7 linked regions of the Sus scrofa genome follow. The protein of the gene in region 6 interacts with the protein of the main gene of each other region in a pairwise test. Links are inferred from orthologs where the notes say so. Each region holds a gene or a part of one and is shown on either strand. Other genes may lie near its edges. The genes, in order: STX7, KCNK1, LAT, TSPAN2, SLC29A1, CREB3 and ITM2B.

The links.
Region 1: the proteins of CREB3 (region 6) and STX7 interact in a two-hybrid assay, tested with the Homo sapiens proteins (2 studies listed by BioGRID and IntAct). The two-hybrid records come from large-scale screens. The link is inferred for Sus scrofa from reciprocal best matches to the Homo sapiens genes CREB3 and STX7.
Region 2: the proteins of CREB3 (region 6) and KCNK1 interact in a two-hybrid assay, tested with the Homo sapiens proteins (2 studies listed by BioGRID and IntAct). The two-hybrid records come from large-scale screens. The link is inferred for Sus scrofa from reciprocal best matches to the Homo sapiens genes CREB3 and KCNK1.
Region 3: the proteins of CREB3 (region 6) and LAT interact in a two-hybrid assay, tested with the Homo sapiens proteins (2 studies listed by BioGRID and IntAct). The two-hybrid records come from large-scale screens. The link is inferred for Sus scrofa from reciprocal best matches to the Homo sapiens genes CREB3 and LAT.
Region 4: the proteins of CREB3 (region 6) and TSPAN2 interact in a two-hybrid assay, tested with the Homo sapiens proteins (2 studies listed by BioGRID and IntAct). The two-hybrid records come from large-scale screens. The link is inferred for Sus scrofa from reciprocal best matches to the Homo sapiens genes CREB3 and TSPAN2.
Region 5: the proteins of CREB3 (region 6) and SLC29A1 interact in a two-hybrid assay, tested with the Homo sapiens proteins (2 studies listed by BioGRID and IntAct). The two-hybrid records come from large-scale screens. The link is inferred for Sus scrofa from reciprocal best matches to the Homo sapiens genes CREB3 and SLC29A1.
Region 7: the proteins of CREB3 (region 6) and ITM2B interact in a two-hybrid assay, tested with the Homo sapiens proteins (2 studies listed by BioGRID and IntAct). The two-hybrid records come from large-scale screens. The link is inferred for Sus scrofa from reciprocal best matches to the Homo sapiens genes CREB3 and ITM2B.

The regions. Positions count from the first base shown.
Region 1 is NC_010443.5:31,183,668-31,187,704, reverse strand, and holds the start of STX7 (syntaxin-7), read right to left. Parts: upstream 2,801-4,037; 5' UTR 2,658-2,800; intron 1-2,657. UniProt on the Homo sapiens protein: May be involved in protein trafficking from the plasma membrane to the early endosome (EE) as well as in homotypic fusion of endocytic organelles. Mediates the endocytic trafficking from early endosomes to late endosomes and lysosomes.
Region 2 is NC_010456.5:57,316,539-57,320,544, forward strand, and holds the start of KCNK1 (potassium channel subfamily K member 1), read right to left. Parts: upstream 2,801-4,006; 5' UTR 2,400-2,800; coding exon 2,045-2,399; intron 1-2,044. UniProt on the Homo sapiens protein: Ion channel that contributes to passive transmembrane potassium transport and to the regulation of the resting membrane potential in brain astrocytes, but also in kidney and in other tissues.
Region 3 is NC_010445.4:18,637,724-18,641,791, reverse strand, and holds the start of LAT (linker for activation of T-cells family member 1), read right to left. Parts: upstream 2,801-4,068; 5' UTR 2,443-2,800; coding exon 2,340-2,442; intron 2,148-2,339; coding exon 2,120-2,147; intron 1,995-2,119; coding exon 1,960-1,994; intron 1,712-1,959; coding exon 1,624-1,711; intron 1,491-1,623; coding exon 1,426-1,490; intron 1,335-1,425; coding exon 1,157-1,334; intron 1,085-1,156; coding exon 990-1,084; intron 1-989. UniProt on the Homo sapiens protein: Required for TCR (T-cell antigen receptor)- and pre-TCR-mediated signaling, both in mature T-cells and during their development.
Region 4 is NC_010446.5:105,516,599-105,520,098, reverse strand, and holds part of TSPAN2 (tetraspanin-2), read right to left. Parts: intron 1,027-3,500; coding exon 924-1,026; intron 1-923. UniProt on the Homo sapiens protein: May play a role in signalling in oligodendrocytes in the early stages of their terminal differentiation into myelin-forming glia and may also function in stabilizing the mature sheath.
Region 5 is NC_010449.5:39,228,313-39,231,812, reverse strand, and holds part of SLC29A1 (equilibrative nucleoside transporter 1), read right to left. Parts: coding exon 3,455-3,500; intron 2,946-3,454; coding exon 2,811-2,945; intron 2,721-2,810; coding exon 2,623-2,720; intron 2,477-2,622; coding exon 2,398-2,476; intron 1,803-2,397; coding exon of another isoform or gene 1,776-1,802; coding exon 1,678-1,775; intron 1,155-1,677; coding exon 1,043-1,154; intron 796-1,042; coding exon 710-795; intron 1-709. UniProt on the Homo sapiens protein: Uniporter involved in the facilitative transport of nucleosides and nucleobases, and contributes to maintaining their cellular homeostasis. Functions as a Na(+)-independent transporter.
Region 6 is NC_010443.5:236,449,352-236,453,372, reverse strand, and holds the start of CREB3 (cyclic AMP-responsive element-binding protein 3), read right to left. Parts: upstream 2,801-4,021; 5' UTR 2,333-2,800; coding exon 2,318-2,332; exon of another isoform or gene 2,206-2,317; intron 2,115-2,205; coding exon 1,977-2,114; intron 1,872-1,976; coding exon 1,724-1,871; intron 1,648-1,723; coding exon 1,580-1,647; intron 1,464-1,579; coding exon 1,374-1,463; intron 1-1,373. UniProt on the Homo sapiens protein: Endoplasmic reticulum (ER)-bound sequence-specific transcription factor that directly binds DNA and activates transcription. Plays a role in the unfolded protein response (UPR), promoting cell survival versus ER stress-induced apoptotic cell death.
Region 7 is NC_010453.5:19,353,932-19,357,431, forward strand, and holds part of ITM2B (integral membrane protein 2B), read right to left. Parts: intron 2,148-3,500; coding exon 2,004-2,147; intron 291-2,003; coding exon 84-290; intron 1-83. UniProt on the Homo sapiens protein: Plays a regulatory role in the processing of the amyloid-beta A4 precursor protein (APP) and acts as an inhibitor of the amyloid-beta peptide aggregation and fibrils deposition. Plays a role in the induction of neurite outgrowth.

The sequences.
Region 1 (4,037 bases), about 210 Mb from region 6:
AGTGAGCTGTGGTGTAGGTCACAGACGCAGCCCGGATCCCAAATTGCTGTGGCTCTGGTGTGGGCTGGTGGCTGCAGCTCCAATTCGACCCCTGGCCTGAGAACCTCCATATGCAGTGGGAGCGGCCTTAGAAAAAAGTAAAAAAAAAAAAAAAAAAAAAAAAAGACAACAAAACAAAACAAAACACCAATATCTCACTACCTATATCTGGTGTTCAAATATCACATGTGTGGCCACTGGCTTGGACAGCTCACCAATGGACTACTTCCATTATAGAAAAGTTCTATTGAATGGTCCTCACCAAACCTTAATAAGTAGCTTTCTATGAGGATATATAAACACTATAAAGGGAAAGAAGGGAGGAGCAAATCAAAGTACAATATTCCTAATGAGAATCTTCTTAAGACTGTTTCTAAAAAGCACAAATAAAAGAACAAAGGAAATTTTAAAGAGGAATCTTGCGTGTCAAACACTATCCTTAGTTACTGCTGGACAAAGTGTAGCCTCTTAAGCTTCCCATGAAGTACAAATATCATTCTCTATAAATCCAAATTGGATAAAGCAACAGCAATAGTCAGTTTCACTTTCTTAGTGGTGAGCACCAGCATAAAGCACCGGACTTCCCTTCACCCCATGTTCCAAAACGGTAAATTCCCAGAAGGGCAAAGGTTTTTGTTTTTTTTTTTTTAAATCTACTTTGTGGACTTCTCTACTCTCCATACCTGGATATATAAGAGGTGCTTAATAAATATTTGTAGAATAAACAAATGTAACTATTCCTAAGTACTCACACCTGGTCTGAGGATAAATATTACCATTTCTAAGACAGCACTGCAGAGCCTTCTTTGAGATCCAGGATGTCCCAGGCTTAACGATGCCTGGGGCCATCACCTCTCCCTAGAAGGATTTCCCATGATCTCCATGTGACTGGCTCCTTTTTCCCAGGGTGCCATTTCCTCTCCCTAGAAGGCTCTTCCCATGATTCTCCATGTGACTTGCTCCTTTTCCACAGCAAAGTCTCATCACATGCTAGATAAGCATTCCGTAGTCACTTTGATCCAAGTGAGAAGTCACCACCTGCCACTCTGCTGATCTAACTTACTGCATCATGGTGCTAATAATCATTTAAAATTATCTAGTTAGTATATCATTTATTATGTCCCTACCTCTGGAACATAAAGAGAGACAAAGCTGTCATCTTGTGGTATCTGTGCTGTGAGGGAGCACAGATGTTCCATGAATGTGCGGGTGATCCCTTTACTACAAACAGGAGCATTCTCCACCTGAACTACACGAACTGCATTCTTTAGCTCAGCTCTTGCATCCATTAAACTATTATGCCATTTGGGTTTAGTTCACAATACCGAGGATTATTTTTGATCTGCTCATACACCAAACTTTCAAATAAAATGGAATCATGGCAAACTTTACTCAGGCTTACTGCACGTGCTTCCTATCATTTATTTTTCAACCAGCAGCATTTGGCTAAAGTTTAGGATCGTAACCAAAATTAAGGCTTACTTTGTTTGGGGGAGCAGTTAATGCGTTAACATGGTATCATATTAACCTCCACAGAAACTTTGAAACTGGAGCTTAAATTTCAACGAGTCACAAGTCTGAGGCAAACTTCTCAAAGTGGCCTGCAAAGCAGAGGCCTGTACACATCACCAGACAATTGAACACTGCTATCAGTCTCTGTACTGGGGGACGATCGGGCCAACCTCAGAAGAAACATTCACCTCCAATATTACTAAAGAGCACAGCATTTCATAATCACTTCCTCTTCTTCCAGAGTTCGCACAAGTATTAAATTACATATAACTGTAGTCAGACTGTGTTGATTTGAGTTAAACAAAAATTACTGTATAAGAGTCTAGCAAATGTAAGAAATCTGAGGGGGGAAAAAAGCATTTAACCTGAAAGGCAATTTTTTTCTTTTTGTCTGAATTTAAAGAAAGTAACAACCTGAAAACCAAGAGGGTGGGTGTGGGGAGGTGTCTTGAGATATTGCATGTATTGTAACTGGCTTTATGCAAACCAATTAAGGACATCACTGAAAGGGCCAAAGAAAGTTAGCATATCATAGTCTCCAAACCAAAGAGAAGACCAACTACAATGAGCCTCTGTATTAATGTATATGGTTCCTTCACTACAGAAATACGTATCTTCAGTTCTTCTACATTTGGGAGGAGAACTTTAAAGCACGTTTTCTAAACCCGTGAATTAAAAAGAGGAAGAGGTCAGTTCATGTCCAGCCTGAGGCAGAAGAAGCTGGATTCCAGAGCTGGGCCGGGGCGGCTCGGACGCCAGCCCCGCCCGGGAACGCGCAGCCAGCCGGTGCGCCTGAGCAAGCGCGGCCGGGGAGGCAGGGGGAGGCGGCGGGGCTGCTGCGCATCAGGCGGCGGGAAGGCCGGGCTGGCAAGGCCAGCAGGGACCGGCGGGGCCCGCCTGACCACGCCGCGCACGGAGCCGAGGGGCGTGGGGAGCAGCGCGCTCCCGGGGCTGGGGCAACGCCGGCCCTCAGACTCCCGAGCGCCTGCCGCAAAGCGCAGGGCGGCGGCCACCTGACAACGCGCGCAAACAAGGTGGCGCGACAGCCACGGGGACACGCGCTTTCGGGGCGCCCGGCCATGGGCACCTCCCGAGACTCCTCTTACCCCGACTTCCTCTGCTTCCTTCTTCTTCTTTAGCCGCGGGCACCCAAGGGCCGCAGAGCCCCCAGCTGCGATTCTCAGCTGATGGGTGGCGGCACCAGGATGGCCAGTGCGCATGCCCGCAATACCTCCCTGGGAAGGAGGCGGAGCTAGCTCCTCTCTCATTGGCCAGCGGGGTTAAATGACGGCAGCCCTTCCCCGCCCCTCTGGTTCTAAGCTAAGGAATGGGGGTTCCAGCAAAATTGCAAGGGAGGTGTTTTTTGAGGCCTGACCTGCGGATGGTGAACGTCTTAGCCTGCGAGCAAAAACAGGAGGAGGGAATGGAGAGCCCCTCTGTTTATCGGGGGATGCCGGCCTCCCTAGCCTCGTGTCTTCAGCTGGCCCGATTAACTCATGCCTGCCTTGCTTCTTAACCCTTGACTCTGTAGTAGACCATATTTACAACTCCATTAAAAATGCGGACGCCCGCAAATGAGGCCCTGGGGGGAGGACATACTAACACGAATAGAGGAAATTCAGTCAGGAACAATGAAGGAATAAGCGAAAAGTCTTTCCCATGTGCTAAGTAGACAAGTTTTCATACATATACAAGTCATTCTAAGCATCCTCAAGGGCGGGAAGTAGGTTTCACCGGATTTCCAAAACATAGAGAGGTTCTCATGATAAATAGTCAAAGTAATTGTTAGATAAAAGTATAATTTCTTTTGATGAAAGAATACCAAATTAATTAGGCCTTTTTCTGTAATAAGACAATATTTCTAAAAGGATCGTCAGGATATCAAAAGTCCAGATAGACTAAGGTGGAAAAAAACAAAACAAAACATATTTTGAATTGGTACCACCTGAGAAAAGTCTAGGTTGTTTGGAATCACATGCACATATATGTACATATGTGAGAGAGATTAACCAAGGATAAGAAACAGAAGAGGCTCTCAGTTCACTTTTCATTTTTCTATTTTTAAGAGAGATGCAGGAAGAAGAAGTATTTTCTATTCCTCATTTTTCCTAAAGAAAACTATGGTGTAAGTGTGATAATAAGCAGCAATTATACTCTGCCTCTGTGAAGAGGGGCAATAGAGATGGGCACGCTGGCCAAGCAGAAGGTACACACCCCATCTAAAGGGGCAGCATGATTCAGCTAGAGCCAACAGTAGACTTTTAGGAATATTGCCTAATATAAGCAAATTATCTGCTTTCTTGAGATATAGTGGAAATTTGATTCGTTTTTATTTTACCCCAAACTTCTATACTTCTAAATTTTTTATTAAAGTATAGTTGATTTACAACGTTGTGTCAACTTCTGCTGCACAGCACAGTGACCCAGTCATACATATGTACACTTTATTTTTCTCATATTATCCTCCATCATGTTTTATCACGAGA
Region 2 (4,006 bases), on a different chromosome or scaffold from region 6:
TAAGAAAGGAGTATCTTTCAACTCAAATAGAACGAAGAGAAGAGTATCTTTGATTTGGAATAGAAATCTAAATTTCAAAGGAATTCTATGTGACTTAATAAGTTCAAGAAGCAAATTTTTTCATCTAGTTTATCCTTAAGTGCCCCTTGCACTGATTTCCTAAATGAACTTTTGTTTTGCATGAATACACACTTTCTTAGGAACTGCGATGCAATCTGAATACCAATATTAAGACATCTTTCCCCACCTTTAAAAAAAAAAAAAAAAAGAATGGCAGATTTTCCTAGTTGCAAAAAGAGAGGGAGGAAATCTGGGAAATAATTGTTCAAGATGTAAATTCCTATCTTTAACATTTGATTAGATGCATATGACATCGAGATTGTACATGAGCTGCATCAGTAAAGGAAAATCCCACTGAGCAAACGCGTTCTTTTTCTCATAATATTGTTCATACTCCTGCTCTATCTTTGAAGTTTTGTTACTTAGAAAGTATGAAAAGTTTAACCATTCTTTGTAATATTTACCCCAACATTGTGACCCAGCTGTAGACCTTCCGCAGCCCACAAACCCCTTAGGTCTGCAGGGAAGAAATGATTCTCAATTTAGCACAAACATACTCCAAAGGAAAGGCAGGGCCAGTACTAAATGATCTGAGGAATAGAGCGAAGTAAAGACAGTGGAAGCAGGCAGGACTGGCCAAAAAACAACCAAAGAGTGGTGTCGGAAAAGCTAAAAAGTAAGAGAACAGGTCGTCTTAGGGCTACCTTTAAAAAGTGTCACAAAACAAACTACAATTCTACTTCCCCTATAGCAGGGCAAACATGGGGCAGTTTAGTCATTCACAGCACACTTCTGAATCCCAGTTTTTACACCATCTACTGGGATAGTGCACCATTACTCATTACCAAAAAAATCACCGGAACCATCAACTGGGTTTAGCTCAAGGGTATTATAAAGAAATAAACCCTGGGAGGCGGAGAGGAGGTGGGGCCACGGAGGAGTCTGAGTAACACAAGTTTAATTCACCTGGAAAGGTGGGGGTGGGGTACCCCCTGGGGTACCCCCATGTTCAAGGCTGGGAAATCACAAGGCTCGGCTTCCAGAACAACGCTGGGAACTAGGTTGCCTGTGACCTTGTGCAAGTCAAGAGGGACTGTTAAAGGTCTCATCTGATGTATAGAGATGGGACTGCGCTGAATGCTCTTGGAGACCACTTGCCTGGGTCCAAATCCCAATGGACAAAACCTCCCCCCAGGTGTTCACGTGCCTCATTTAGTCCAGGCTGGGGCCACTCTATCCAACCAACCAGTTACCGGCCTCCTCTCGCCCCCGGGACACTCTCCATCGTGAACGTCTTGCTTGGTGAGTGGTGTGGGGAGGGTGGCGCCAAGAAGTTTAAGCGTGGCCTCGCGCACCGAAAGTTAAAAAACTGCTGAATCAGGGTGCCCCCATTTTCCCGGATCACAGGCTATCGGATGTTGCCTAGCCTCACCCCTCCTCCTGCTCCGAAGAGAAACCGGATCGGCCAGTGCGCTCAGAGGTCACCTGCGAAGAGCAGAGTGATGTCACTCGCTTACCCCGAAACGGCCGCTACGGTAGAAAAGAGCCTAAACATCACAGTATCATCAGACAGAGGCCCCTCGGGAAGGTGACCCTGGAACACGTTATCCTTAGGCTCCTCAGTCTCGGCCCAGCGGGACAGGGGAGGGAGGAAGGCGCGCGCCCTCGCTGCACTGGAGTTTCCATCACCGCCGCGCGGCGTCCAGGACCCAAACGACTCCAAGCGGACGGTTGGATGGAGGGTGTAGCAAACAAAAGAACGCGGCTTTGGGGACCCCTGCAGCCGCTCAGGCCGAAGGGTTAGGGACCACGATCCAAGACTTCCAGGGGGTCAACCCTTGTCTAGCATTCTGAACCCACCTCGCCGGCTTCCGGCGCCGCGGAGCCGGTCCTCCCAAGATTAGCGCCGGAGGGGTCCGGGGAGGGAGGAGCGGCTAGATCAGAGAGCCGATCCGGGGCCAGGGACGTGGGGTGGGCCTCTTACCTGTGGTGGAGAGCACGGTGCTGGCGAAGAAAAGGGCGGAGGTGAAGTCCCAGTTCCAGTTGCCCGAGGCGTTGCTGAGCACCGACACGCCGTAGTTGCTAGCTGCCAGCACCCGGCCCAGGAACTGCTCGAGCTGCGGCTCCGAGAGGCACTCGTGCTCCTCCAGGAAGCGCCGCTTCAGCTTGCGCAGCTCCTGGCGCAGCAGGTCCTCGTAGGGCAGCTCTACAGACGAGAAGACTACGGCGCCGAAGACCAGGTAGAGCAGGTAGCCGAGTACCAGGAAGCCGAAGCACCAGGCCGAGCGGTGCCGCTCCACCAGGCGCACGCACGAGCTGCCGGCCAGGGACTGCAGCATCTTTCCCGCCGCGAGGCTGTCGCCGCCGCGAGGCCCGCGCCGCAGACCGGCCCGCCGCTGCCACCCGCCGTCCCCTCGGCCCGCCCCGCTGCCCGCGCGCCCGCTCCGCCCGCAGCGCCGGCTGCCTGCGATTGGCTAGCGGCTCCGGAGGCCTTTTTCTTCCTTCTTTTCCTGTTTCCTTGCAAATAAAAAAGCCCAGATGATGTGGCGCTGACGTGGTGGCCGGCTCAGGTAACCCGAGAGTCGCCCCTGACAGCCCGGCAAACTTAGCCGCCGAGTGGGGGCTGGGCGCGCAGCCGGGACGCTCCCGCCCTTGGCGATGTCTCCTGGGCGGCCCAGACCCCTGCCTTGTGGCGAGGGTACCTCCAGCTCCCCGCCCAGGTTCAGCCCCAGCAAAAGGCAGGGCAGGGGGGCGGGGAGGTGGCAGGGAGGGAGCGTATGCGCGCGCGCGCGCGCGCGCGCGGCGGCGGGGGGACACTTCTGGGCAGTGCGCTGCCAGTCCAAGCCTCAGATCGCAGCTACTCCGTTTCACCCTATTTCTTCTTAATCAAATCCACTATTATGACAAAGCGGGCGCTGGAATACTTTTCATCTTGTCTTATTGGCCAGATAAGACGTTGGCGCAATCTGGTGCCAATGATGGATGGTGAAAAGAACCAGAAACCTCAAGGTCAGAAGGTGCCTTGGACCTGAAGACTAAGGCAGAGTTTTGGAAAAGTCACATTTCTGAAGCCTAGTTCTTTTAAAACATGAAGAATGAAGAAAAATACCAATATGCCAACCACTAGAAGCGACTGAGCTTTCCCATGTGGCAGATCTTTTTAAGGGGAAGCCCTTACTGTGGGCCAGTCGAAATGGGTGTGCCCTTTTTGCAAAAGGCAAGTTGAGGATGTTTCAAGAGCCTTAAAAGAGCTTATGTACTCTGATTCCATGATGTGGCCTAAGAAAAAATCAGGGAGGAGTTCCCTAGCAGCCTAGCCATTAAAGAACTGGCTGTTGTCTCTGCTGCTGCTCAGGTCACTGTTGTGGTGTGGTTCAGTCTCTATCCTGAGAAATTTCACATGCCTCCAGTGTGGCCAAAAAATAATAATCATAATCAGGGAGGCAAACATTTATAGACAAGGCAGTTCATAAACAATATATATCTATATTATACATGAAATAATGAAGACTCAGGAACAAATGATTCCAAAATAGAGAAATGGTTAAATAAATTACTACGGTATCTCTACAAAAGCAATGAGAGTTCCCGTTTTTGGCTCAGTGGTTTACGAACCTGACAATTATCCACAATGATGCGGGTTCAATCCCTGGCCTCACTCAGTGGATTAAGTGAGCTGTGGTACAGTTTGAACACAAGGCTTGGATCCTAACTTGCTGTGGCATAGGCTGGCAGCTGCAGCTCTGATTTGACCACTAGTGGGGGAACTTCCATATGCCACAGGTGCAGCCCTAAAAAAAAAAAATGCATAAATAAATAAGTAAAATGAAATAACACCATTCGCAGCAACATGGATGGACCTGGATAATATCATACTAAAAGCCAGCTGGAGGTGGGCTCTCAGGGTGGGAGATCAGCTCATATACCATTTCTTTTTCACTGATAG
Region 3 (4,068 bases), on a different chromosome or scaffold from region 6:
ACTAAAGCAGTGAATTAAAACAGGGCCTGTGGTACAGGAAGGGCTGCCAAGCTTCTGTTAAAAAAAAAAATAACTGTACCGATGGGGCAAAAGAGGGCCAGGCGGGGAAGGGCCAGGCTCCAAAGCAGCTGGGAATTGTGTGGTTTAATAGTAATACGTTAAAACACATAACACTCTTAGCAGGGCACATAGGACGCCCTTGACAATGTCAGCTCTTATTTATCATGACTGTACTTCATGATAAATAAGAAATACACCCAGGAAATATGATGATTATATCCAGGCACCCAGGAAATATGATGGATGAACGAATGAGTGAATGGATATAAGTGAATATAAGCCCTTGGACAGAGAAGTCTGGGGCTCAGGAGAGAGGAGGTGAGTTAGGAATCTGGATGGCAAATGAAGCCGGGTGTGGACGTGATGGCCCAAAACAAGTCGAGAGAGAATACAGGAGAGACAGAAAGGCGGGTAACGGGGCACTAATGATGATGAGACCTCGACAAAAGCCTCTAACAGGCAGGATGAGACTAAAATGAGAGAAAAGCAGCCCAAGGGAAATTAAAACAATCCAGAAAGCAGAAGAAAACGAACCCCCACAACCCCCCTCAAAAGACCACCTACAATCAACATCCTTATCGAATTACGAGATGATATTGCCTTCGTGAAACAAGAACAGGAGGCTATGAAAAAGGAACATTCAGAGATGAAGAAAGGTTTTGGACAGGCCAGACAAAATAAAAGCATAGAGTCCAAAGAAGAATCAAGTCAAGGAAATCTCACAGACAAGAAAGGGAAAAGACAACGAGAAAAGAGGAGAGAAATGGTAAGAAAATCAGAAGATGGGAGCCGGAAGTCCCCTATCTGAAGGACAGACGTGCCAGAAAGAGAGAAGAGAGAAAATGAAGGGGGAGCAGGCATCCAGGAGGAGAGGGAAGAGCCAAGGGCTCGCAGCCCAAGGGCAGGGGGTGGTCAGACGGCAAACTCACTGGAAAAGGCGCTGTCTCGGAGGCCGGGCTTGTTGGACGCAGGAGCTGCTGGGACCGTGGCGCCAGTGGCTGGGACGCTGTCGGGAAGCACCACCCTGAGGAAAGTCAAGGATGGGGTGAGCAAGGACCCCCCGGCTTCAGCCCCTACCTCCCACCTGGCCACTCACAAGTAGCCCTCGTTGTGATAGTCTTCCTCATCCTCGTCTTCGTCCGCATCCTCACAGACTGGCTCTGGGGGGAACGACACAGGGTCAGCAGAGCCCAGGGCGGGCCCTGGCCTCCTCCCAGCCAGGGCCGCCAGGATCGCAGACGCACCCTCGTTCTCGTAGCTGGCCACACTGTTGGCTGCCAAGAGAGCGCGAGAGGGAAATCAACTCAGCTCAGGCGGGCCTGGGCTCTGCCCAGCCCCAGCCCCTGGGCCCCGCGCCCCGCTTACCACCATCTGAGTCCTGCCGGGAAGAAGGCATGCGGTGGGAGCCTCCGGGGGGCTGCGGGGATCGCCTAGGAGTCAAAGGTCAGTGGTCATGCTGGAGTGGGGCTCTGGGGCAAGAGGGACTGCGACAGGCTAAGAGGCCCCCATTCCAAGGAGGCAAGGGGCCGCAAAGGAGGATTCAGAGGGAGAGAGGCTACTTACGGGATGGGGAGCAGATCTGGCTGGCTCAGGGGTGGGTAGGAGGTCATAGGCGGGTAGGAAGTGGCTGGTGGCCAGGGGGCAAGTGTGGCTGAGGACACAGGACCAAGCTGAAGAAATGACTCCAAACATCATGCCCTTTACCCGAGTCATGGCCTCAAAGGGCAGACTGACCCCCAACACCCCTAGGCCCTGGGGTGCCCCCATCTCCTCCCCATCCCCAGCTCAGGTCAAGGCCATGTGGGCAGCCATAGGGGGGAACTAAACAAAGGCACATACTCTCCGGCACCAGGGGACCCTCTCCCCACACCCGAAGGAGGGGCCCCACCGTGTACTTACGAGGCCGCTTGATCACGATGCTACTTGGGGTCAAACTAGCGGGAGAGACACGGCTTGGCTAAGTGGCTGCCAGAGGCCCCAGCCCCCGCCCCAGTCCCCTCGGGCCCACCGTGGGTATTGAGGGAGACACACACACACTGGGTCACCTGGGCAGACTCACCTATCGGGGGCAGCAGTGTCATATGAGCCTGGGGAAGAGAGGGCTGGTGAGGCAGGAAAAGGGGGTGACGGGGGCAGAGGGAGAGGGACCCTGGGGTGCTCGGCGTCTCCGAAACAGTTAGAGACGATTAAAGAGGGATGAAGGGGTTGGGGAGTGGGGTGAGGATCCCTGGAGGTGGGGGGTGTCTGGGCATCCAATCACCCCACCAGCACCCACTCACCTGGCAGCTCTCGGCAACGCACACACAGTGCCATCAGCAACACGGCCAAGAGGGGCAGCAGCAGGAGGCCCAGTGCGTAGGGGATCAGGCTGACCGCCTCCATCTGCAGGAGGGGGCTTGGACCTGGCCTAGCTGCTCGCTGCACAGCCCTCAAGAGCAGAGCTGCTGCAGGGCGAGGGCCAGGCCAGCAAAGGGGCAGGGGCCAGGCGGGCACCAGGCTGGGAGCCTGGTAGAGGGGCAGCCGCGCCCCCTCCCCTCAATGGGCTGAGTGGGCGGCAGCGCCGGTTCTGGAAGGCCCTTGACCCCAGGGAGGTCAGGCCAGGCTGGGCTGGAGTCTGGGGCACCAGGCGCCCCTATACAGACCCTGCGCCCCAGCCGTACCTGCCCCTGGGCTCTGCGCCCGCCTCTCTCAGCGCCTGCCCGCCTGCCTGCCTGCCTGCCTGCCCGCGGCAGGAAGCTGTGGTAAGCGCCGGGTGAGGGCAGGAAATCATCAGGGCTCCTCAGCCGGCTGCACCCGCCCCCTTCCCACCCCCACCCAGCCAGAGGGGAGGGGAAGGAGGCCTCAGGAGCCACCACCCCCACCACCGGGCCCTCCAGAAGGGTCTTCTGGTCTCCGGACAAGAGGCAGCTCACAGCAGGGAGAGAAGGGGAAGATACTTGCAGGCTGTGGCCGCCGTGGCCTCCACAGCCAAGGCTCAAGGAGGCAGCGAGGAGGGAGGCTCAGACAGCGGGACCTCTGAGGGGCACAGGGCAGTGCCCACCCCCACCTCGCCCTGGCCGGCCTGCCAAGGGCGGGCGGGCTCCAGGGAAGACATGGGCGTGACTCATGGTCACACGAGCCAGCTCACTCCACCCCCTCGTTCACCAGCCCAGAAGGACAGGGATTTGCCCAAGGTGCCACAGGAGTGACCCAACGGCCCCTGGAAAACTGGGTCTAGAAAGGGGGCGTCCCCTGCCATCCAGAGGTCAGAGGTCACTAGCACCCAGAGAGACTCCAGCAGGCACTTGGGGTCTGGCTACAAATTTTATTCAGTTACAAATAGCACCGAGCCCCTGGGGCTGCTCCAGTGGGGATGGGGAGCATCCCCTCTTGGCTCCCCATGTAGTGCGTGGGAGCCGGAACATGGGCCAAGCCCCTCCTAAGAAATGGGCCAGGCTGAGAGCTTGGGCCCAGGCCCCTCCTGGGTGGGCCCGGGGCCAGCCGTGGTGGGTGTGCAGGTAGCAAGCGGTGACCCCCCCTCAGATGAGCACACTGGACACGGGGACCCGGGTGGATCGGCCTCGCTGGGGCACCACGATTCGGTCATCGGCAGGCCCGGCCTCAAACAACAGACCTGCCGGGAAAGGGAGCAGAGCCAGGGCTGGATGCACAGACAGACACAGGGCCAGGAAGGGGACACACAGGCAGGGGCAGATGGACGGGGCAGCAGAGCCACCCGTGCTACGGACACAGAGGAGCATCAGCTTGTGGAACAGCAGATGCGACGCCCGAGGAACAGGAGGGCTGTGGACTGAGAGCTGCCAGGTACACGGGGCCAGGCGGGCGGAGAGATGGACAGACAAGCAGGGGGCATCGTGAAGTTAGACGAGGGGCTGTGGACAGACAGAGGGGAGGCCCCACTGACCCTGTACGTGCAGCTGGGCCCGCCGGCGGTCGCCCTCAATGAAGACGGCGGTGCCCAGGAAGGCGGCGCCGCCCAGCGCCCCCACGAAGGCGCAGAGCATGAGC
Region 4 (3,500 bases), on a different chromosome or scaffold from region 6:
AACCCTGCTTCTCCTTAAGCTCAGAGGTTGCCATAAGCAACTGAAGCATCCTCTATGGCAGGCACATATCCTAAAACAGCCAGTCCATAGGGCTATCACCTAGCCCTGATGGTCTTGGGCTTTTTGAAATCTAGAGTCCAGGTGCCCTTAGCTGGGGCAAGAAAAAAAGGCCCCCAAAGAGGACTAGAAGTAGATCCAAGGGAACTAAACCCAGGGGGAAACACTCAGCCCTACTCAGCCATGGTCTTGGAATTAGAGGCTACCCAGGCTCACACTCCCTCCTCAGCCCTTTCCCACAGCTGGGGGGAGAGGCTACTCCCCTCCCCCACTGAGGCCTCTCCCCAGGGCAGCCCTCTCCCCCTCCCCAGCCCCTGCCCTCTGCAGACCCCAGTCATGGAGGGACTAAGATCAGTGTCTCCACATCTTGCAATGTCTCTTCATTTTGAATTATGTGTCTCTTCTAGACAATTTAGAATTTAAGACCACACATATAAAATACCCAGCCTTGACTGGGCAGGAGCCCCCATCACCCCAGAGGGATGAGTGAATAACTGACTTGGTAGTGTTCTGCTTCACTCAGGGGGCAGAGAGGGTTTTCCAAGTCTTTGGAAATGAACTGTGGTGACATGCTGCCCTTCTTTTCTTAAGGAGGCTGAAAGAAGTACAACACCCCAGTGCCTCCTGGTCTTCCTTGGTTTTGGGAGCAGAGGGATAAACCATGTGTGGGGTGGGCTGAGTAGGGGTGGCAGGGCCCTCTCCTCTCTGCCTGGACTGCACAGCCCCCTCCCAGGGCCAGGTGGGCACACAGGGCTCAGGTTTGCCTCCTCTCTCCCTCTGCCCGCCTCCCACAGAAGCCTGGGTGCAGGCTCCGGCTCTAAGCCCAGCAGCCCCAGCTAAAGCCCAGGAAAGCTGAAGTCGCTCACCCATGTAGAAGTACTCTGGGGACTTGTCCTCCGATGAAAAATCCTTCATGGTGCCTCCAAACCGAAACCACAGTCCAAAAGCAATGACAGCCGACCCTGCCAGCTGAAAGGTAAACAGCATGCTCTTACAAGGGAGGGGAAAGTGTGTGTATGACCCGGGAAGCCTGGGGCCGCAGAATGCTGAGGGCTGGAGGGGGCCCCCCTAAGAAACCAGCTCATCATTTCATGGTAGGGGTGAAAGGATGTGCTCGCAGCCTCTACCCCCAACCCCAGGTCCCTGATGTAATGTTAAAACTGGGGCTTCCTGATTCCAAGCGCAGAGTTTCTCCATTCTGCCAGGCTGCCCTGCGGTTATAGGGCACACACAGCCCAGCTCAGGAGGCGTCTCAAAGTGTTCCAGTAACAGCCCCCGAAGGCGTCTGCTCCCTGTTTATTGTCCCCTGCCGGGCACTTCAGACTTCCTCACCAACACCACAGTGAGAGGGGACTGTGTTTGAGCCGCCGGGTCACCAAGAGCAAGATGAACTCTGAGACCGGGGAGGGGGCAAGACCTACTTTTCTAAGTGGGAAGAAAACATGCCAACTTCAGAACCCGCCTACGCCTCCTGAGCGAGCAGCGCCCAGTGAGAAAGCTGTTTCAGAGGCGTCTAGACCTCTCCGGTCACTGATCATTGCACTGCACTGCCTAGGGATGGTTTTGCAGGCAATAAGGGAGACTGGTGGTTTTTTTTGTTTGTTTCTTTTCTTTCTTTTCTTTTTTTTTTTTTTTTTTTTTTTGGTTGCTATTTTGGGTTTCCATGGAAAGCAAGAAAGGAAAAAATAATTTTCTGAAAAAGCATGGTCTGTGTGCCGTGTGGCTCATGGAGAGGCTGAGTGGCTGGCGCAGGCAGTGCTGGGCAGGCTGGCGGCTGGTAGAGTCATCGCCTGCTTCCTCTCAGCCACTCTGAGGACTTTTGTGAGGCTCCGCACCAGGGCTGGAAGCCTTTTCTGCCATTGCAGGACTGTCACAAAGGCCCACCAGTGGGCCCCGGCATCCTCTCCCCCACAAACACTCATCTCGAATTTCATTGTATCAATAAATCAATGGATAATTCCCTGCGCACCTTCTGGACTCAAGGCACCAGGAGAAAGTAAGCAGAGATGTCAAAAGAGCCTGCTGGTTCTGCTGACCCATACAGTTAGTGCTGGGCTGCCCTAGCCCATCCTGGACTGACACTTTAGAGGCTGCTGGCCCACAGGGAGAAGCAGATACGAGAGATGCTGGGCACAGGAAGACAGAAGTTCACAAGCCAGAGAAGTAGAGGTTTAATAAGGAAAAATGGTTTCAAGGTCAGGGTCAGACCAGAGCCCTGTTTATAAGGAATCCTGTTATCTGTGGGCTATTACAAAAGGCGGGGGCTATCTGGCCGGACTTGTTTGAGGATGTTATCTTTCTTCACCCTCCTCCCACCCCCCCACCCAAAGCCCATTCCCTCCGTGGCCAGCTTCTTCAGAAGAGCAGCAGGGCCGCTGCAGGAGGAGTTGGAGAGGCCAAGTTCTACCAGCTGCGATCCAATGTGGAACGACTAAAAGTTTCCAGTACTTACAGGAAAGCACTAATTGGATAATGTGAGGGACAGCAAAAGGAACTGGGCTCAAAGGGGCTATAAAAGATTTTTCAATTTTTAAAAAGGGTAGCAAGGCATGGAAAAATATTCCAAAGAAGTCATGTTAAAACATTAACCATATTTCTTTTCGAAGGATAAAATTACAGGTGACTTTTCTCTTTTAGCTATATACTAAGTTTTCTGCATGAAGCATAGATTACTAAAGTAAGTTTAAAAGTGTGACGAGGTGGTTTATCTGATCAACCCAGAAAAGATGGTGGTGGTGGGGTTTCTTGGGCTGTGCTTTACTTTGGGAGGAAACCAGCTTTGAGGTGATTGCTGTTTCTGGTACAGGGAAGACAGCGATGGCCTTGGGAAAGCCCTGTCTTTGGGGTGTCGGGGGCTGCTGGGGACAGATGTGCTCAGCAAAGCCTCAGAGGCAGCCCTGCCCGCCCCGCCTCTGCAGCCACTCAGTGGAAAGACTTTCCAAATACAAAGCAAAAATCTATTGACAGAGGCATCAGGCCAAGGGCTGCAGCCACCAAGCAGACTGTGGAGGAGGTGACGGGTCCCAGGGACACCCTACCACGAGGCCACATTTTTGGCATCTCTGTACACAAGCTCTAATTTATAGCTGTCTGGGATCATCCTCCCAGACGGAATACATTTGTCCACTTCTGGCACAGATGTGTTTGATGCATAATGGAAAATTAAAAGAGAGGTTGCAATTTAAAGCCATGGGGCAATGAGAAGAAATCTGCACTTGCTCATCCACGTCCCCCAACCCCAAACCACATGGGTTTCCTCCTGGGCCAAGGAAACTGTGGCACAGCTGAATGTCATCACTGTGAGGGAATCCTCCTAGCACGCCGGGGCAGGGATGCTGTGGGTGTGGACCCCTTCGAGCTTGAGATTGTTGCTGATGACAGCGATCGCTGCTTTGGAAAGGCGCATCGGCAGAGACCACGTAGCCCTTTGGTCCTTTTGAACT
Region 5 (3,500 bases), on a different chromosome or scaffold from region 6:
TTTTTTTCCCATTTCTTGGGCCGCTCCTGCAGCATATAGAGGTTTTCAGGCTAGGGGTCCAATCGGAGCTGCAGCCAACGGCCTACGCCACAGCCACAGCAATGCGGGATCCGAGCCACGTCTGTGACCTACACCACAGCTCACGGCAATGCCAGATCCTTTACCCACTGAGCAAGGCCAGGGATCGAACCCGCAACCTCATTGTTCCTGGTCAGATTCACTAACCACTGAACCACGATGGGAACTCCGGGAATGATCTATTCTTGACCTGGGCAGTGACTATCAGGGATGTTTGTTTACTGGTGTGTATACATATATTCATTACACTGTGCACCTCACTATACATAGATCATGTCTTTTTTTTTTTTTTTTTTTAGGGTCACATCCATGGTATATGGAGATTCCCAGGCTAGGGGTCGAATTGGAGCTGCAGCTGCTGGCCTATGCCACAGTCACAGCCACGCCAGATTTGAGCCGCATCTGTGACCTACACTGCAACTCATGGCAACACCAGATCTTAAACCCACTGAGCGAGGCCAGGGATCGAACCTGCAACCTCACGGATACTAGTTGGGTATATAACCTACTGAGCCACATCAGGAACTCCATATGTCTTGGCCCCCTTCCCACCATACTTTCTTGGTTCCCTCTCTGGGCCTCAGGCTGACTCCCCTCTCGCAGGGACTTGGTACCCCTTTCCTGCACTTACCCACATGGTGACGGCTGTGAGGCTCCGGCCCAGCCAGTCAAAGATGTTGAAAGTCAAGAAACAGGACACAGGAATGAAGTAGTTATCTGGAAGAGGAAGAGGAGATTGGGGGAGGGTTATCAGGTCCAGGAGAGGCAGGATCCAGCAACCCTGACCCTCACTGGGACTCAGTTTTCCCAGCTGTAAAATGGAGATGTTTCCAGCCCAGGGAAGGGCAAATGAACCAGGAAGGTCTGGCTGGGGAGGCAGCAGTCCAGACTCCCCTCCTCCTGGGCTCCCGGCCCTGCTCAAGCCCCTTTCCTGCCCCATCCTGGGAACCCATGGTGTCCTCACTCCAGGGGCTGGTGGTGTCCGCAATGCTGGACTTGACCTCGGCAGCCACGGCAGGAAACACCCCAATGGTGACCGTGAAGACGAAGCAGACGGAGAGAGCCGGGACTAAGATCTGGAGGAAAGGGACCCAGGCCCGTGTCTTCATGGCGGTTGTGCCTCATTAAAGAACCAAGACTCCCCACCCCAAGACAGACAGAAAGATGCACGCACACACAGAGGTGTGTGCCCACATGCACGCACGCAAGAATCCAGGCAAGTGGCCAGTCTTTAATCAGAAAGGGAGGGGATAGGGAGTTCCCATTGTGGCACAGGGGAAATGAATCCAATTAGTATCCATGAGGATATGGGTTCGATCCCTGGTCTTGCTCAGTGGGTTAGGGATCTGCCGTTGCCATGAGCTGTGGCAGAGGCAGCAGCTGCAGCTCCGATTTGACCCCTAGCCTGGGAACCTGCATGTGCCATGGGTGAGGCCCTAAAAAAACAAAGCAAAAAAAAAAAAAAGAAAGGGAAGGGATAGACAGTGCTAGGAGGTAGCTCGGGAAGCGGGGGAAGAAGGAATGAAAAAAAAAAAAAGAGAGAGAGAGAGAGAGAAAGGGTGGAGGAGCAGAAGGCAGGATGCCCCAAGGGCCACGTACACTTCTGAGGATGGCACGGACAGAGTGGCTTTTGTTGCTGGGCTGAGAGTTGGAGGCAGAAACTCTGAGCTCCTCTTGGCCTGCTTTTGACTCCTCTCCTGGCGGGGGACAGGTTGTAGAAGGATCTTCAAGTTGGGGGGAAGGACAGGGCAACAGATGGCACAAACATCTTCCCGCAAAGGGCTGGGCTTAGTTGGGAGCAGACACCCCCTTGACCAGCACACAGCCACACCCGGCCAGTTCAGACCTCCTCTGAATCCCGGTCCTGACCTCTCTCAGGAGCCTCTGGGCAGGTTACGCCTTGTCCAAGAATCTGAAACTGCTTCCCAATGTCCTCAGGCATTCAAGGCCACCCAGGCTGTCCTCTCGATCCCAGCCCTCACCCCATCCCTGGCTCCTGCCCTCTGGTCTCTGGCATCTCAGCAGCGCTCGTTTTTTTTTTAAGGCTAGGGGTTACATCGGAGGCTGCAGCTGCCGGCCTACACCACAGCCACAGCAACGCTGTGTGTCTGAGACTCATCTGCAACCTACACGGCAACGCACGGCAACACCAGATCCTTAACCCACTGAGCGAGGCCAGGGATCAAACCCGCATCCTCATGGATACTAGTCGGGTTTGTTACCACTGAGCCACGATGGGGACTCCAGCAGCGCTCATTCTTGCCCTCTGCTCAGGCTCCCCCCCACCCCCCACCCCCCGCTTCCTCAGGCTCTTCAGACCTTTAGTAATGAGGTCCAGCTTGGTCTCCTGCTCCCCAGGCCCTTCAAGCTTGAGTTGCTGGTAGTAGCGGTAAAATTCCTATCAAGTGAGGGAGACCGGGAGGTGGATTCAGATTCGGAATCTCCAGAATTCACCTCCCCCAGGTTTAGGCCTCAGAATACCCTGGGTCTGGAGCCCTGGATCCACCCCCAGACCGCAAACCCCAGCGTTCTCCAGGCGCTCACCAGCCGCGGCAGGCCCAGATAACAGATGATGGTCAAAATAATAACCGCACAGGCTGTGATAAAATAGCCGAAGGCACTTTCCGAAAGCTCCGAGCCACCTGGGGTAGAGGGTATCAGTGATCAGAGACAGGTCCCACCCCTTCTTCCCCCACAATCTGGGCAACAGGCAGACAGACAGAAAGACTTACTGGCGATGGCGCAGATCATGGCCACGGAGGCGAAGAAGCCTGCCAGGCCCTGGCCACTCATGATGGGGGCTGTGTAGCTGGCGGGCAGGAGGCCGGCCAGGCCAAACAGGCTGCCCTGCAGGATGGCACCGAACGCTGGGGGACAGGGTGGGCATCAGCAGGGGAGGGGGGAGCCGGATGGGTGGGGGGGGGCCCTGGGAAAACAGGTCCCTATGATTCCTGCTTTACTCCCTTTTCTAGTCTTTTTTTTTTTTCTTTTTTGTCTTTTTTTGGGCCACACCTGTGGCATACGGAGGTTCCCAGGCTAGGGGATAATCAGAGCTACAGCTGCCGGCCTACACCACAGCCACAGCAACGCCAGATCCAAGCCGCGTCTGTGACCTACACCACAGCTCCCGGCAACACCAGATCCTTAACCCACTGCGTGGGGCCAGGGATCGAACCCGCAACCTCATGGTTCCTAGTCGGATCTGTTTCCGCTGCACCACAACGGGAACTCCTTTACTCCCTTTTCTTCATCCCACTCCCGGCCCTGGTCCGTGAGCACTTGGGCCTCTGAACCTTGACCCCCTGGGGGAGGAATGCCCACTGCGGGTCTGAAGGCAGGGGGCGGGCACATGGGAAGCTCTCCCCACCCCGCTTACAGTTAATGAGCATGATCTTGATCATGGTGATGACAAAGAAGGGCAG
Region 6 (4,021 bases):
TAACCCACTGAGCAAGGGCAGGGATCGAACCTGCAACCTCATGGTTCCTAGTCAGAGTCATTAACCACTGCGCCACTACGGGAACTCCAGGCCTATTCACTCTTAGTAGTCATATCACACTACTGTACTTTTAAGAAATTAAAGTCTCTTTATCTTTCTATCAGTAAATATTGATTTCATCATAGTATCACAATACCGCACATGTGAAGCTGCCACTCATTGCTTGAAGCAAAACTCAGGATTTTACATTTATTTTTGTTATACTCCTTAGTCCAGCCTTGATGAATTCTAAAACTTAACCATTCAGCCATAGGTGGATTAGTGTAAAACTAGTGAAATCTAAGTGTCAGGACCCCCCTGTTCCCACAGTACTTTGCAAATCCCTATACCAATATTACACTAATGATTTTGAATTCTTACTTAAAGAGAACACCAAAGTTTGTACAAGCCCTACAAAAACCAGGATCTGCCCCGGCATCCAGCATATTAACTACAGCTTCCTACAAACAACAAACGTGCCAATCTCTCGCTGTCAGGAGACGTGTTTCTACAATCTTTTCTTAGCCTCTTTGCTTCTATTTTCTATGCTGAAAATTCCATTTTGTCCTGCTTTACTTAACCCCATATTCCAGCTTGAAAAACAGTCACCATGCTAGTAAATAATTTAAGCTTAAGAACAAAGACCAAAAGGCATAAGTATTCACGTGGTCAGCTGAATGAGGACATAATGCGTTGGTCTAGGCATGCAGTTTGCACAGCATGATACGTCCTGTTAAAATAAGAGGAAGAGGCGCCTCAAGGCCCCAGGGGGTTTATGAGCGGTCGTTAGCAGAATATGCATCAGCAAGGAGGTACAAACCTAGGCATGCCAGGTTGCAGCAGATAGGCATGCTGTCTGTGGAAGCACAATGATAATTCTCTAGGTGCTATGCACAGAGAGCTAATATCCAGCTTCTTCAATGCTAGTGATTGTTAATGCCTAAAGGTCAGAATAAAAGCTTAACCAGCTACCAGCTATGTGACTTTTAAAATAATAAAAGAACTATGTCCTGCACCTACAACCCCCTCCTCACTTGATGTAATCCTAAAGAGCACAATAAAAGCAGTGTGGTTTCTTGAGGCACTGCTCTTGGTCCCTGAGACCTTGAGTCCCCCAGTTCCCACCCGCAATTAAGATAAATGTCTCTGTGTCTTGTTTTATGCTAACTTTTTCTCAAGTTTTACAGCACCCGTTCCTCAGCCCTTACCTGCGAAGCTGGACTCAGCATCTCGCCTCAGTCCTTTCTCAAGTTACTGATATAAAATTAACAGAGTCAGCCTACTAGGGACTTAACCCCTGCATCCAGTCTTTGCTCCTCGAATGGGAGTCTTACCTTAGTGAGAGGAAGTGTCCCGGGCAGAGTAAGCCCCTCCTTCTCCAAAAGCCTCTTCTCCTCCTCCGTCAGTATCAGCTCACCAATCTCCTGGGGTTCCAAGAGGTGGGCAGCACAGGTGCAAGAGGGTGTCAGAGAGAAATTCGGACTCCTGCCCCAACCCGGTCAATGTGGGAATAATCGTCCTGTAAACCAAGTCAAGTTACCTGCTCTGCGGGCGCCTCCACACGCAGGGAAGTCATTTGGGCCCCTTCCTTCTCATAATCCTCATTATCTGCAAGAGGGAAAGTATAAACAGCCAGGTCCATAGTCCCCTCCCCTCCCCCAAACTTCACCTCTATCAGACTCACCTAGATCTATGGAGACATACTCCTGTGACAGGGAATAGGTGTGATCATGGTGGACAAGATAGGGGTCAGAGTGGCTAAAATCGGTCAACGATGCTGGGGGACTCGACAGGCAGCTCAGGAAATCCTCTACGTCCCAATCGCTCAATGCCTGCCCAGGGTTCAGATTAACAGACTTTGACTGATCACCACCCCCTGCCTCAGAGACACCCCTCCATCCCGCCCGGGGCCTCCCGGACTCAGAGCCCCCCCCCACCTCGGAAAGTGGTAGCTCCCAATCCAGGGGCGCCTCCAAGGCTTCGTCCCGCGCCGCCCCCAGACCTCCGCTTTCCTCTAACAGGAAGCCCAGCAAGTCATCGTCACCCGAGTCCAACCCCAGCTCCATATGAGACATCTACGGAAAGGATGAGCAGAAACACAGAAGTACACCCGGAGTCAACTCCCAACCCCACGCACGACTCCCACCGATCGTCAGTGGGCCACACCTATGGGCTCCGCAAGCGGGGTTTTCCTCCTGGATGCCGGAGGTGGCTCACAAACCCGACCCGCCTCCCAGCCTGAGTCTTAGCCACTTCCAACACCACACAAGTGACGCACCGAGCCCTGAGGCATCCCGGGACTTGGAGTTCCCCGGACGCGGAAGTGGCCTTGGTGCACGCCACGTCCCGGGCACTATGCAAATAGAGGGGACGTCCTTGCCAGCCCCTCACTCCCCGAGGGCGGGCATTCCGGCGAGCCGCCTCCGCCTCCGCCTCCGCCTTCGCCCCGGGCTAGGAAAAGGAAGGACTACCGCGCAACCGGGACCTCGGGCCCAGCTCGGGCGTCTTCTTGGGATTGCGCCGCACCCTCGCTTCCTGCCGGGGAGGGGCTGCGGGTCTTCGGCCGGCTCCTGAGCATCGAGATCTGGGGCCAGAGCAGCTTCCTGCGGTCCCCGCAACCATAGAGCGCGGGCCCAGGGCGCCGCCCGCGGGCGGGGGACGTTCCCGGACGGAAGTGGCCGAGAGTGTCGAAGGGAGGGCGAGGCCGGAGCCCGAGAGCCACCGGGAGAACGAGCGGGTTAGCGGGCCGGCGGGCGGGGCGCAGAGCCGGGCAGCGCAGGTAGGCCGGTCTGCCGCGAGCGGGGCCTCAGGGTGGGGCCGCAAGGCCGGGCCCGGGAGGCGGGCGGGGCCCCTGACTTGACTGCGTCTCCTGTTTCGGGTCCTGTTGGAGAGGTCAGCGTCCAGTGTCTCTCGGCTTGGGCTGGGAGTTCAAGAGGCCTTTTTGCGGGAGGCTTTTCTGCTCCCTTGCTGGGAGCAGCCCCCTGTCTGGGATAGGTTTGGGGGAGGGTGAAGAGTGGGTGGCAGTGCGACGCAGGGCGGGGATCGGCTTTGAGGTTGGCTGATGGCGGGTATGTGGGTAGGAGCGCCCTGGGTGGGTTGGGGATTAGGTGGTATTGGGTTTAGGAGCCAAGGTTAGCTTTAGGGGTTTAAATTTCGAGTTATGAGCGTGAGTCAGGTCCGTTTTGGGTAGGTAAAGTTTGGATTAAGGACATTATTTTGTGTTCTAGGATGGTCAGCCTAAGCCAGAGTTAGAGTCCAGGGTCGGGTTAAGGGTCAGCAGCAGGAACGGCGCTCGAGATCCAGTTTTAGGCATTAGAGACCGTTGGCATAGCCAGTGTTAGGGGTAAAACGGGGAAGGAGTGACTCAGGAATCAAGTGACACATGATCTTTAGGTTCAGGGGTCAAGCTCTAGGGGTAAGGTTGGGATTTGGTGCTAAAGGTAAAATTTAGATCAAAATTAGGGATCAGGGATTGGATTCAAGTGTCTGCTGGGAAAGAGCTGAATGTTAAAGCCAGTATTGGGCATCAGGAGACAAATTGGGATCGGGGTTAATGTTGGGAACTAAGGACAGTTTTAGGGGTTATAGGCTGAGGTCAGGGTAGGTGACCTCAGGCAGGTAAAATTTAAGAGATTGGCAGGTGCTCTTTTTTTTTTTTTTTTTTTTTTTTGCAGGGAGGGCTCTTGTTTCTCTGTCGCCGTGGGGGCTTCTTTGGCGCAGAGAAATGATAAACTGATTACAGGGTAGGGTTCTGAGCTTCAGCTAGAATTGCAGGCATCTGGGATTCCAGCTGCATTGTACTCTCTAAGCCCAAGGCTCTTGCTGTGGCCACCACAGGTGAGGGGCAGGGGTTCCTGGACCATGTTATTTACAAGGTAGGAGGTGGGAAGGTGTTAGGGACCCAGGAGATGTGCTAGGCTTCATAGTAAATGGGGGACTATCTAGGGGAGAGGGGCCTGGTGGGTCAGTTAAGGGAAAGGCC
Region 7 (3,500 bases), on a different chromosome or scaffold from region 6:
GTAAACAGAATAAATTAGCAAATGTTGAAGCGAAAACTACAAAAGCATCCATTAAGGAACAGTTCAGGGGGCCCTGGGCTCACCTTGTTAAAGTCATGCACAATGTTGGCAGGGTCGCTGTCCGCAAACTCTGGGACAGGCACGCTGATGAACTCGACCCCATCTTCCTCGAAGATCTTAATATTTTCCTCGATGGTCTGGTAGCGGGCGGCAGGGGCGTTCGCAGGAGGCTCATTTAAGATGACATCATCCTTGATGTACTTTATTCCACAATAGTAGACGTCATCTGGCTATGGAGAGTTTAAACACTGCTTTAGCAACGCAGTGGGAGACAGGCTTTTAAATGCAAGCATTACTTAAGCTGCCACCTTTATCTAAGTAGTACTTTGCTTGCAAACTCTTACTTTTACATGACAAGCCAGACACTTTAATTACAGAGTTAACACATTCTTCCTGTAAGATCAGGTTTTGAAGTATTGTTTAAAAAAAAAAAAAGGCTTCAGAAGGAGAAAAGCAGCTGATTCCTCCTTTACTTTCTGTGTTTGACAAAAATAGAATATAAAGGCAATTATCCATCTGGTGACAAGTAAATGTGAAGAAACACATAGGCCTATTTCTACCTGTAGGCCTTATTTTTTATAAAAGAATATATTCAGAAACTAATAATGTTTTTCTGAAAGAATATACTTTTAAAATGTAATTCACCAATTACATGATTTTTCTCATCAGCTAAAAGAGGGATAGTTTAGTTTTTCTGAAATTTCCACAAGCATACAGGTAGTTTGGATTTTTCCTTAAAAATACATCATAATTAAGTGGAAAATATCAGATTACAGCAAATCATTATAAAGATTGATTTTTTTTAAAAGTGTATATAATAAATATTAGGAGCATATAACAAAATGCTAGGTCAAAAAATATTACCTCTGGACAGTGGAACTGCAAATGATTTTCTTATATCAAAAATACATTTCTTGTAAAAAACTGGAATGAGTATACTCTGGACTCAGGAGCAAAATTTTATGGGGACGCCCAAAATGTCTATCAAACTGTAATCTATTAATATGACACTTGTGGCTAGTTTATTTATTCAACTGGCAATTAAAAATATTATAACTTAGCCATTAATTATGGTTGGAAAGTTGAGGTTAGACAATTTTGAAAAATCATCCACAATCTATACCCTTTAGTCAGCAACATTTCTTTCTTCTTCTTTTTTTTTTTTTTTTTGTTGTGCCTGTGGCATGTGGAAGTTCCTGGCCCAGGGATTGAACCTGTACCACAGCAGTGACAACACTGGATCCTTTAACTGCTAAGCCACCAGGGAACTCCAGAAACATTTCAAAACAGTATTATTCCACTTCTAGTGACTTTTTAGCTGGCTCAGCAAACTTACGTTCAGGAGTTTTTTTCTTTTTTTACCCCCCCACCCCCGTCCTATTTTGGTCATCCTTGTCCTGTGGGTGATTTTTTTTTTTAATTTATTATTTTTTTTATTAAAGTACAGTTGATTTACAATGTTGTGCCAATTTCTGCTGTACAGCAAAGTGGCCCAGTCATACATGTATATACATTCTTTTTCTTATGTTATCTTCCATTTGTTCAGGAGATTTTGAAACACAACCTTAAGAGGACCACCATTTTGGCTAAAGGTCACAGAAAAAAGTACAGACCCAGAACAAGTTTGGGCCAATTTTCTTTTTCTTTTTTTTTTTTTTCTGTCTTTTTGCCATTTCTTGGGCCACTCCCACGGCACATGGAGGTTCCCAGGCTAGGGGTCAAATCGGAGCTACACCAGAGCCACAGCAACGCCAATCCGAGCCGCATCTGCAACCTACACCACAGCTCATGGGAATGCCAGATCCTTAACCCACTGAGCAAGGCCAGGGATTGAACCCATAACCTAATGGTTCCTAGTCGGATTCGTTAACCACTGAGCCACAACAGGAACTCCTGGGCCAATTTTCTAACACATGTGAAGCAAAGGCAAAAAACGTCCTTACCATTTTCCCACTTACTTGAAGTGCAAAATATTTGTACAGGTATGCTCCTCCTAGAATGACACCTGCAAGCATAAATGCCAGGCCAAAGCACATGCACCAACACCAGGCTCTTCTTTGGCCAACTGGTACCACTTCATCTGGGTCCTAAAATATGAAAAAGACTGATAGTCAATATCTTAGCTCTAGTCAGAATCACAGAAACATCAAGACTGTTTAAGAAACTTTAAAGATTATTATTACATAAACAAAGATATAGGAGTTCCCATTGTGACTCAGTAGTAACAAACCCGACTACTATCCATGAGGATGCCGGGTTTGACCCCTGGCCTTGCTCAGAGGGTTAAAGATCCAGCATTGCTGTGAGCTATGGTGTAGGTCACAGACATGGCTTGGATTTGGCATTGCTGTGGCTGTGGCTGGCAGCTGCAGCTCCAATTTGACCCCTAGCCTGGGAATTTCCATATGCTGTGGGTGCAGCCCTTAAAAAAAAAAAAAAAAAAAAAAAAAGATATAAAGACCTAGTGCTTGAGGAATCAGTGTTGTCACTTCTGTCACTCAAGCGTTCAATGCCTGGCCCTGGAACTTGTGTCATGGGCATAGTCGTCCGTCCGTCCGCCGTCCCCCCTCCCAAGCCAAAAAGACCAAAGAGCGAGGTCGCTAACCAAAATCCACCCAGTAATGATTACGTGGTGGTGCCAGGACTCAGCACAATTGCCTCTTGAGCTAAAACACCAGTCCCTTGGGAGAGTGTCGCCTTCTTCTAACTTTCAACAGCCCACCAGCTATCATATCTCTAGAGCAATAAATAACACACTTAACACTCTCCCTTTTCTGTGTGTGTCTCTCTTTTCTTTTAACTTTTGGTGATGATTAAAATAGCTTCTAACATTTAAAAATCCAGAGATGGCTATGATACAACTCCGCGATGCAACATTATGATGCTGGGTCTTGTGTATTATTACAACTTCCACGTACATGAGATTATTTATAAAATTATGTGTTAGCCTGCTACAAGGAGTTAGTATTCCATACTAGACACCAAGCCCACTCCTAACCAAACATAAGAAAAATTAACAAAAAATCAGGGACAGACCAAAAATATTAAGCAGATTCTTTAAATAACTAGAATCTCAAAAAAGTAGGACACACGTATCTAGAAATAATCCTGTAACTCCACTTCTTGATCAAATTCTTCATTTTTAAGATAGAAGCTGTAGAAAACTGAGGAAAGATTCAGTAAGAAAAACTTATTAAGAGACACCCAACTAGCATACAGTTGTTAGAATTCTAATTTTGACCCAATCAAGGAAATAATTTAGCACTGGAACACCATCTAGGGTCGGGATATTCACAGTCCTTAGACGCACTCCTTGCCCCTTTAACTCAGTCTCTCTACTCTGTCACTTCAGAGTTAACACACTTATCTTCTTTTTTTGTTTTGTTTTGTTTTAGGGCCGCACCCTTGGCACATGGAGGTTCACAGGCTAGGGGTCTAAT